Linked DNA regions of Xenopus tropicalis. The protein of the gene in region 2 interacts with the protein of the main gene of each other region in a biochemical or structural test. Links are inferred from orthologs where the notes say so. Each region holds a gene or a part of one and is shown on either strand. Other genes may lie near its edges. The genes, in order: sema4a and plxnd1.

Region 1 (4,283 bases), on a different chromosome or scaffold from region 2:
GGGAACCAGGTCGGAGGGCAAACAGGGCAGCAACGCCAGGAGCGCCAGGAGCAGCCCCCAACAGCGCTTCCACGTGGGCATGGCTTGGCCTTCTCTACTCACCGTCCCCCGATGCCAACGCTCCCCGGGCACTGCCAACACACAGGGACAGGAGTCAGGGGCACCCCCATACTGATATATATATATACAGTGAATAAAGTACCCCCTGTTGTAACATATAGGGATATTATAAGGCACAGAGGGGTTCCTTATAATATATAGTGAATAAAGTACCCCCTATTGTAACATATAGGGATATTATAAGTCCCCGAGGGGTTCCTTATAATATATAGTGAATAAAGTGCCCCCTATTGTAACATATAGGGATATTATAAGTCCCCGAGGGGTTCCTTATAATATATAGTGAATAAAGTGCCCCCTATTGTAACATATAGGGATATTATAAGCCCCCGAGGAGTTCCTTATAATATATAGTGAATAAAGTACCCCCTATTGTAACATATAGGGATATTATAAGTCCCCGAGGGGTTCCTTATAATATATAGTGAATAAAGTGCCCCCTATTGTAACATATAGGGATATTATAAGCCCCCGAGGAGTTCCTTATAATATATAGTGAATAAAGTGCCCCCTATTGTAACATATAAGGATATTATAAGCCCCCGAGGAGTTCCTTATAATATATAGTGAATAAAGTGCCCCCTATTGTAACATATAGGGATATTATAAGCCCCCGAGGAGTTCCTTATAATATATAGTGAATAAAGTGCCCCCTATTGTAACATATAAGGATATTATAAGGCACAGAGGGGTTCCTTATAATATATACTGAATAAAGTGCCCCCTATTGTAACATATAGGGATATTATAAGCCCCCGAGGAGTTCCTTATAATATATACTGAATAAAGTACCCCCTATTGTAACATATAAGGATATTATAAGGCACAGAGGGGCTCCACAGCCATATAAAAGCACGAGGCCCTTGTCATGGAAATCCAAGGTGACTTCTAAAATCCTTATATTCTACAACAGGGGGCACTTTATTTATCATAATATACAAGTTTCAGTGAGTCATGTGACAGAAACAGGTCAGTGTTCCGAGTTCTGCAGGGCAGCGGCGGAACCGATATCTGGCAGTGGGAAGTGCAACAGATAATGTGGCCGGATGGGGGGGGTCCCGTTCTTCACTTTCTGTATGAATAGGGATCTACTGATCAATTCTGACCTCCCCCACTCATGGCTAGTTCTGACTCTCGACACAGCCATAAAGCAGCAGTCCTGCCCTGCTTTATGGCTGGGATTCTAGCTATCTGTATAACAGAGCATTCTGTCACAGTGGCACAGATCCTATCTGATCCCCCCCCCCCCCCCCCATTGTAAGCAGCAGTCCTGCCCTGCTTTATGGCTGAGATTCTAGCTATCTGTATAACAGAGCATTCTGTCACAGTGGCACAGATCCTATCTGATCCCCCATTGTAAGCAGCAGTCCTGCCCTGCTTTATGGCTGAGATTCTAGCTATCTGTATAACAGAGCATTCTGTCACAGTGGCACAGATCCTATCTGATCCCCCCCCATTGTAAGCAGCAGTCCTGCCCTGCTTTATGGCTGAGATTCTAGCTATCTGTATAACAGAGCATTCTGTCACAGTGGCACAGATCCTATCTGATCCCCCCATTGTAAGCAGCAGTCCTGCCCTGCTTTATGGCTGAGATTCTAGCTATCTGTATAACAGAGCATTCTGTCACAGTGGCACAGATCCTATCTGATCCCCCCATTGTAAGCAGCAGTCCTGCCCTGCTTTATGGCTGAGATTCTAGCTATCTGTATAACAGAGCATTCTGTCACAGTGGCACAGATCCTATCTGATCCCCCCATTGTAAGCAGCAGTCCTGCCCTGCTTTATGGCTGAGATTCTAGCTATCTGTATAACAGAGCATTCTGTCACAGTGGCACAGATCCTATCTGATCCCCATAGGAAGAGGGTGTGTCTGATAGAGCTCGTCCATGTCTGGAGCAAGCCCAGGCCCTGCTAGGGCTGGTAGAGCTCCTCGCAAATCTGAGGCCCAGGCTTTGGGGCCTAGCCCATGTGCTGAAATTTCAAGGCCAAAACTAAGGTCATCTTCGCTGGGAACCCCTAGATCTACTAGGAGGAGGAACAGCAGCGACAGTGATATGGAGGTAGAGAAAACTGTGCAAGAGGCCAGAAAACTAAAGCAAAAGAATGTACAGGTTGCAAGAGATCAGGAAGTTGGGCTTCGGCGTGGAGCAGCTTGTGAAGGATTTTCTTCCTCTGAAGGTCCCCCCTCCACCCCTTCAACAACCCCCAAACCAAAAGGAAAGCAAAATGAGAAGGCAAAGCAAACACCAAAGAAACCTGTGAGTACTAAACCCCAGAAACAGCAGGGCAGCCAGCAATGCCTGCAGGTACAGCTAAGGCTGTGGAGGCTGGAGTGAGTGCAGCCGAAGATGCGGCTGAACTGCACAGAGCACCGTCAGATGGTACCAGAACGCGAGCAACAAAGATGCCCGGCAGTCCTTCCGTTCCAGACTTGGTGCCAAACCCAATATCTGCAGAGTCTGAGGAGGGAGCCTGTCAGGTTTTGGGCCACAAGGGTGAACAAACTGCTGGTAAGAACTTACCTTCTTCTGCAGAGGAACCGCTAGTGTCCAACATGGTGCCCGCTGGCAAAGCTGAAGCTGAGAGTCCCATCAGTGCTGGCAGGGGCACTGGCACCGCAGAGGTAAATACAGCAGGGAATAGCCATGAAAGCAAGCAGTCAGCAGCACTCCACAAGCAGCTAAAGCAGGCAGGTGCTGAAGGGGTTAACAACACAGGTGCAAGTCGTCTAGGTGAGCAGGCAGCTCAGGTGCAAAAGCCTCATACTGTGAAGCAGCACATTCACATGGCAGCAAGTGAAGGGGAATCGTCTGCTATGGATACAGAGGGGGAGAGCCGGTTTGAAGGGGAAGTAAAGAGCACAAGCAGGAAAAAAAATAAAAATCAGCCCATAACAGCAGAAAGAGTTGCGGAAGCTCTAAATGAATTAGCAGCTCTTCAGAATGAGAAAAAGAAGTTGCAACTGTCTATTAAATGTCTTGTTAACTTATTTGCCGTGTCTGATGAGAAACACAAAGTGGCTACAAAGCAAAAGAAAGATGCATTGTGTAGAGAACTGTCTGATGTGGAATCCAGGATACAGACATTATTTCAGGAAGTCGGGCCATGGAAGGAAGTGTATCAGAACAAACAGAGATTTGACGCAATGCAGCCTTCCTACCAAGCCACACGCAGGAGGTACAATGTACAGACTGTCAGGCACTCAAGAACCTCAAACAGTGCCACCAGCTCAGAGAGTGACACGGAATTCACCAAACCTTTGCCTCCCCGGAGACAGAGGGGAAAGGAGAAAGTGAACTGGCAAAATATGGCTTTCAGTGAGAAGGAGCTGGAAGAGCAGGAGAGAAAAAAGCAGGAGCAAAAAAGTTTCAAAGTGAATGTCCCGCAAGTCACCGCAGACGTCGAAGCAACCTATGCGATTGGGTCTGACCAAGACTTCCCAGCATTGCCCACAGCAGAGGGAAAGAGCCCAGCGAGCCCACCAGCACCGCCCAAGCCCAGTCCCTGGGAGAATCCTTGTGAGCCAGAAGGGGAACCATCTACTCGCAGCAACATGGAAGTACCTTCTGTTCCTCAGGGGGTGGTGCAAGTACCTGTGGTGGGGCAAGTACCTGTGGTGGGGCAAGTACCTGTGGTGGGGCAAGTACCTGTGGGGGTGCAAGTACCTGTGGGGGTGCAAGTACCTGTGGGGGTGACTGAGGAACATGGAGAGAGTGAGGTGCAGAGTGAGTCTGTGGGGGAAGTGAATGCTGAGTGTGATGGACAAGTGGCAGTCACACAAAGGGTTAATGTTGGAAGGCCAATCAGGGAGGCAGAGCAAGGGACACAGAATGGAGGCAGATCAGAGGCTGGTCAGCGCCCAGACAGGAGTGGAGCTCAGCAGGGACAGGGAGCCCAGGTAGAGGTGGAGACAATACAGGCAGGGGGTGAGACTATAGCGGTAAATCCCTTACAGTTTTGGGAAAGGAGGAGACTCTTTGCCACCCCAGATTTTTCAGATAATGAGCCCTTCAGAAGGAAGAACTGGGTGAAAATCAAATGGGATGGTAACAAGGATGAGGCCCCCCCCAGGAAATTTATTGTAAAGAACCTCCTGTTAGATGGTATGGGCTTTACTCCCGGAGACCTCTCCGCTGTCATGGCTCAATCAAGCATCGAATTTG
Region 2 (4,382 bases):
ACCTGTGAATCCTTGCTTATTTACTAACCACATATCACACTATGTTCTCTCTCTCAGGCTACAGAGGAGCTGAATAAGGAATAGTGTATGTGCCCCTATATAACTGCGCCTGGTGCGTCTCCCTGCTTTGTATGACTGACAATATGGTGCGTATTCTGTCTGCCTCCCTCTCTGTGCCAACCTGCCATGTGAGCGCCAGGCAACGACAGCTCATCACTCAGTGAATGACAAGGTGTTTTTGGATGAGCGTCAGTATCGCATCGCTCCTGTATTTATTAAGCTCCGACGCCCACGCACACTCGGATGGAAAGTCATTGGGGGGGGGAAAAATATTCACTTAAAGGGGATATTCACCCAAAATCTGCTTTTTTTGGCTAATGAATGAAAATGGAATTCAATGTCATTTTGCAGTATATGTTCAGTAAACACTGCCAAGGCTTTAATGGTACATTTGTAATTGTAATTGCATGGCACCCAGGAAACAGTATTGCATACACTGCTCTATATATATATATATATACATGAGGAATGGTTTAGGGATAGGGAGTCATTTGTATTACAAGTAATGTACCCTTTAAAAATCCCCTTTTGCGCTGATTCATTAAAAATCATCCCAAAAGGAGCCAGTAGCACCCAATACCTTGCCTTGTAGGGTGCCACCAACCCCATCTTGTCAGCGGGCAGCCACTAGCCTGGCGTAGCTTACAGGAAAATGTTACAGGGAAAGGGCTGTGATTGGCCCTGCTATCTGCGGGGAATTTGTATGGGCTCCCCATACTCCTTTGGGTTTCTCCAGTACAATTCATATTCTATCAATATATGTTTCAGGGGGTGATCCCCATCATCGGGTCCTCTCCGGGTACTCCCAGGGTTATATTTATTTATATAGGCACCTAAGGGCACGGGCCTAGAGCAGCAGCGTAAGGGTTGGGCCCCAGTACCTATATAGAGAAAAAATATTCAACTCTTTTTGTAACTCCACAGCCCATTACTGCACATCCCAATCCAAACTGATTGCACAGTTGGGTACAAGTGTGTGTGGGGGAGGGACATGCCTAGGGAACAGCAGGTATTAAACCAGCGCTGGGTACTCAGGTTTCCTCCCACACTACAAATACATACAGGCCCCCGATTAAACTGACTATAGTGTATGTGAATGTGACAGGCACCTTAGATTGTAAGCTCCACTGGTGCAGTAAAGGAGTAACGGACGAAGGAGAATGTCAGTGATAGATATATATATATAAAGGGTAAGAGGGTACAATAATCAGAACTCAGAGCTGCTCTAAACCCCCTCTCCAATCTGTGCAGGTTCTGGGTCTGTGGCCCCTAAATGTTCCTTTGCAATAAGGCCTGAAACTGCAGATTTCTGATGATGGAACCTGCCAAGCACCTGTGTCTGGGAATGAAGCACTGTGGGTTCTGACTATGTATATCAATGTATCACATATATAGTTTGGTATAAGGGGCTGTGGAACCTGCAGTCATGGCAAGTAAGGACTGGCATGTAGTACATTCTCTGGGCACAAAGAAATCTTACTGTCAGTATCCCCTACAGATAGGGGGATAGTATTCTTGACTGCAACTACAACTCTCAGCAAACAACAAAGATTGGAAATGCCCTCCTCAGTAAGCCCCATAATCATACCCAATTTCATGCAAGAGAAATAATGTATAATTATAAACACTAACCTTGACCTTGGCGTTCCTGCGTTCGCAGCTGGGGCCAGTCCCCTGCACCACACTGTCCAACACAGTCACTTCCCCCGCGTCCTGACTCTCAAAGCAGCCCCTCCGCGCCCCGCGTATCTCCTGCGCCACCGAGCGCAGCGGGAACATACAGAGCGCCGCCTCATTTTTCCCCTCGAATATCCCGAATATGTTTTCCGACTCCGCGAACACTGACAGCAGGCGACCATACAGCACCCCTCCTGGGCCTTCGCAGCGCAGTCCCAATTGGATGTAGGACTCTGTGAGTTTGCGCGGCTCTGTTCTAGGCTCAGACTTCAGACAGATCCGCGCTAAAACACTACTGGGTCGGTTCTCCTTCCCCGCAGGGGCGGGTTCCACGTTCATGGCCAGGTACGCGAATGGTCCCTGCTGGAATGCCCTGACAAACCCCAGGCGATGCCGGGCCTTAAAGCTCTGCTTTACCTTGAATATGTTGTCATCGGACGGACTGATGTCAAAAGTGAAAAGCTTCTCGGAGGCGGTCAGGTTCAGGGCCCGGATTGAAATCTCAGGGCTGTTCTCAAATCGATGGTCAGCGATACTTTGGTTCCAGGGAAAGAACTGGCTGGAGTATCCGGTGTATGTAGCGCCCACAAGCAGCTTGGTGTCCCCACTGGGCCCCCGAAGCAGTAACCCTACGGTGGAAGCGTTGGGGTGGTTGGCAGCTACATTGAGCATGCTGGGCACCGCGTTATCCACAGGGAAGGGCACTGCGCGGAGCGTTATGTTCCGCAGGGCGCGGAGCTCACACAGCCCCTGGAAGATAGATCCGCAGGTCAGTAGCAGCCCCTGCTCCGGGTCGGGTAGTAGGATTTTATTGTAGTTCGGGGTTGAGGTCCGGGGGAAGTCACAGGTGGTTTCTCGCAATTGCGGAGCATGGCACAACGGGGAGTCCGGTACCGGCCCGGTAACATCCTCCAGCTCCGGCCGCAGCTCCCAGTTCAGCTGGTAGAGGCGATTCACCGCCGCCAGGTACAACAGCCCCTCCCCGGCGCTCAGCGCAAAGTTATTAGTGACCTGCGGAGAGTGGAACTTACTGACCAACTCTAGCCCTGAGGCCAATGCCACCAGCGACAGGAGCAGGACAGCTGCAGCCATCAGTGGGCATGGATATGGGTGCTGGGATATGGGTGCTGGGATAAGGGTGCTGGGATGTGGGTGCGGGGATATGGGTGCTGGGATGTGGGTGCGGGGATATGGGTGCCGTTGAGGGGATGTGGGTGCCGATCCTTCAGCTCTTGTTCCCGCTGCGCATCCCTTTGGCTCCCCTTGTGCTATAATACCCCGCGTCCCTTGCCCCCTGTGCCAGCCCTGTGCCTCCTGTCTCTCCCTCCCCTCTGTCCCACTGCCCTTCTCCGGCTCCCTCTCCGTTGCTGCCAGGATGTTACTCCTCGCTAGTTACTGATGCCTCCCTGTCTCCCCCCCCCCCAGCTCCGACCCTCCTACTGATTCCTCCCTCCTCCCGGCGGCACAACTTTCACTCAACTGATGCTGCTTCTCTGCTTCCTCTCTCCGTCTCCCTGACTGCCGAGCTCTCTCTCTCCCCCCCCCTCTCTCTCTCTCCCTCTCTCTCTCTGTCTCTCTCTCTCTCAGCCTGTCCCCCATTCATTGCCTTTACCCCCGAACCCCATTACAGCTTTCCTCATTGGTTTAGGACCCCAGGGAATATACCTGGTGGGAGTCAATGTATCACCTATAATACAGCCTGAAGCTTCTGCTTGGTTTGCTACAACTCCCGGCATCTGTCTGCGCAACTCCCGGCATCTGTCTGTGCAACTCCCTGCATCTGTCTATGCAATGCTTCCTACAGCTTCTTTTACTCAGCTACAACTCCCGGCATCTGTCTGTGCAACTCCCTGCATCTGTCTGCGCAACTCCCTGCATCTGTCTATGCAATGCTTCCTACAGCTTCTTTTACTCAGCTACAACTCCCGGCATCTGTCTGTGCAACTCCCTGCATCTGTCTATGCAATGCTTCCTACAGCTTCTTTTACTCAGCTACAACTCCCGGCATCTGTCTGTGCAACTCCCTGCATCTGTCTATGCAATGCTTCCTACAGCTTCTTTTACTCAGCTACAACTCCCGGCATCTGTCTGTGCAACTCCCTGCATCTGTCTGCGCAACTCCCGGCATCTGTCTGTGCAATGCTTCCTACGGCTTCTTTTACTCAGCTACAACTCCCGGCATCTGTCTGTGCAACTCCCTGCATCTGTCTATGCAATGCTTCCTACAGCTTCTTTTACTCAGCTACAACTCCCGGCATCTGTCTGTGCAACTCCCTGCATCTGTCTGCGCAATGCTTCCTACGGCTTCTTTTACTCAGCTACAACTCCCGGCATCTGTCTGTGCAACTCCCTGCATCTGTCTGCGCAATGCTTCCTACGGCTTCTTTTACTCAGCTACAACTCCCTGCATCTGTCTGCGCAATGCTTCCTACAGCTTCTTTTACTCAGCTACAACTCCCGGCATCTGTCTGTGCAACTCCCTGCATCTGTCTATGCAATGCTTCCTACAGCTTCTTTTACTCAGCTACAACTCCCGGCATCTGTCTGTGCAACTCCCTGCATCTGTCTGTGCAATGCTTCCTACGGCTTCTTTTACTCAGCTACAACTCCCGGCATCTGTCTGTGCAACTCCCTGCATCTGTCTG

What was found.
Region 1: the proteins of plxnd1 (region 2) and sema4a form a complex in vitro, tested with the Homo sapiens proteins (2 studies listed by IntAct, with this or other methods). The link is inferred for Xenopus tropicalis from reciprocal best matches to the Homo sapiens genes PLXND1 and SEMA4A.

The regions. Positions count from the first base shown.
Region 1 is NC_030684.2:142,870,661-142,874,943, forward strand, and holds the start of sema4a (semaphorin-4A), read right to left. Parts: upstream 2,851-4,283; 5' UTR 2,713-2,850; coding exon 2,643-2,712; intron 132-2,642; coding exon 1-131. UniProt on the Homo sapiens protein: Cell surface receptor for PLXNB1, PLXNB2, PLXNB3 and PLXND1 that plays an important role in cell-cell signaling. Regulates glutamatergic and GABAergic synapse development.
Region 2 is NC_030680.2:132,018,413-132,022,794, forward strand, and holds the start of plxnd1 (plexin-D1), read right to left. Parts: upstream 3,093-4,382; 5' UTR 2,830-3,092; coding exon 1,693-2,829; intron 1-1,692. UniProt on the Homo sapiens protein: Cell surface receptor for SEMA4A and for class 3 semaphorins, such as SEMA3A, SEMA3C and SEMA3E. Plays an important role in cell-cell signaling, and in regulating the migration of a wide spectrum of cell types.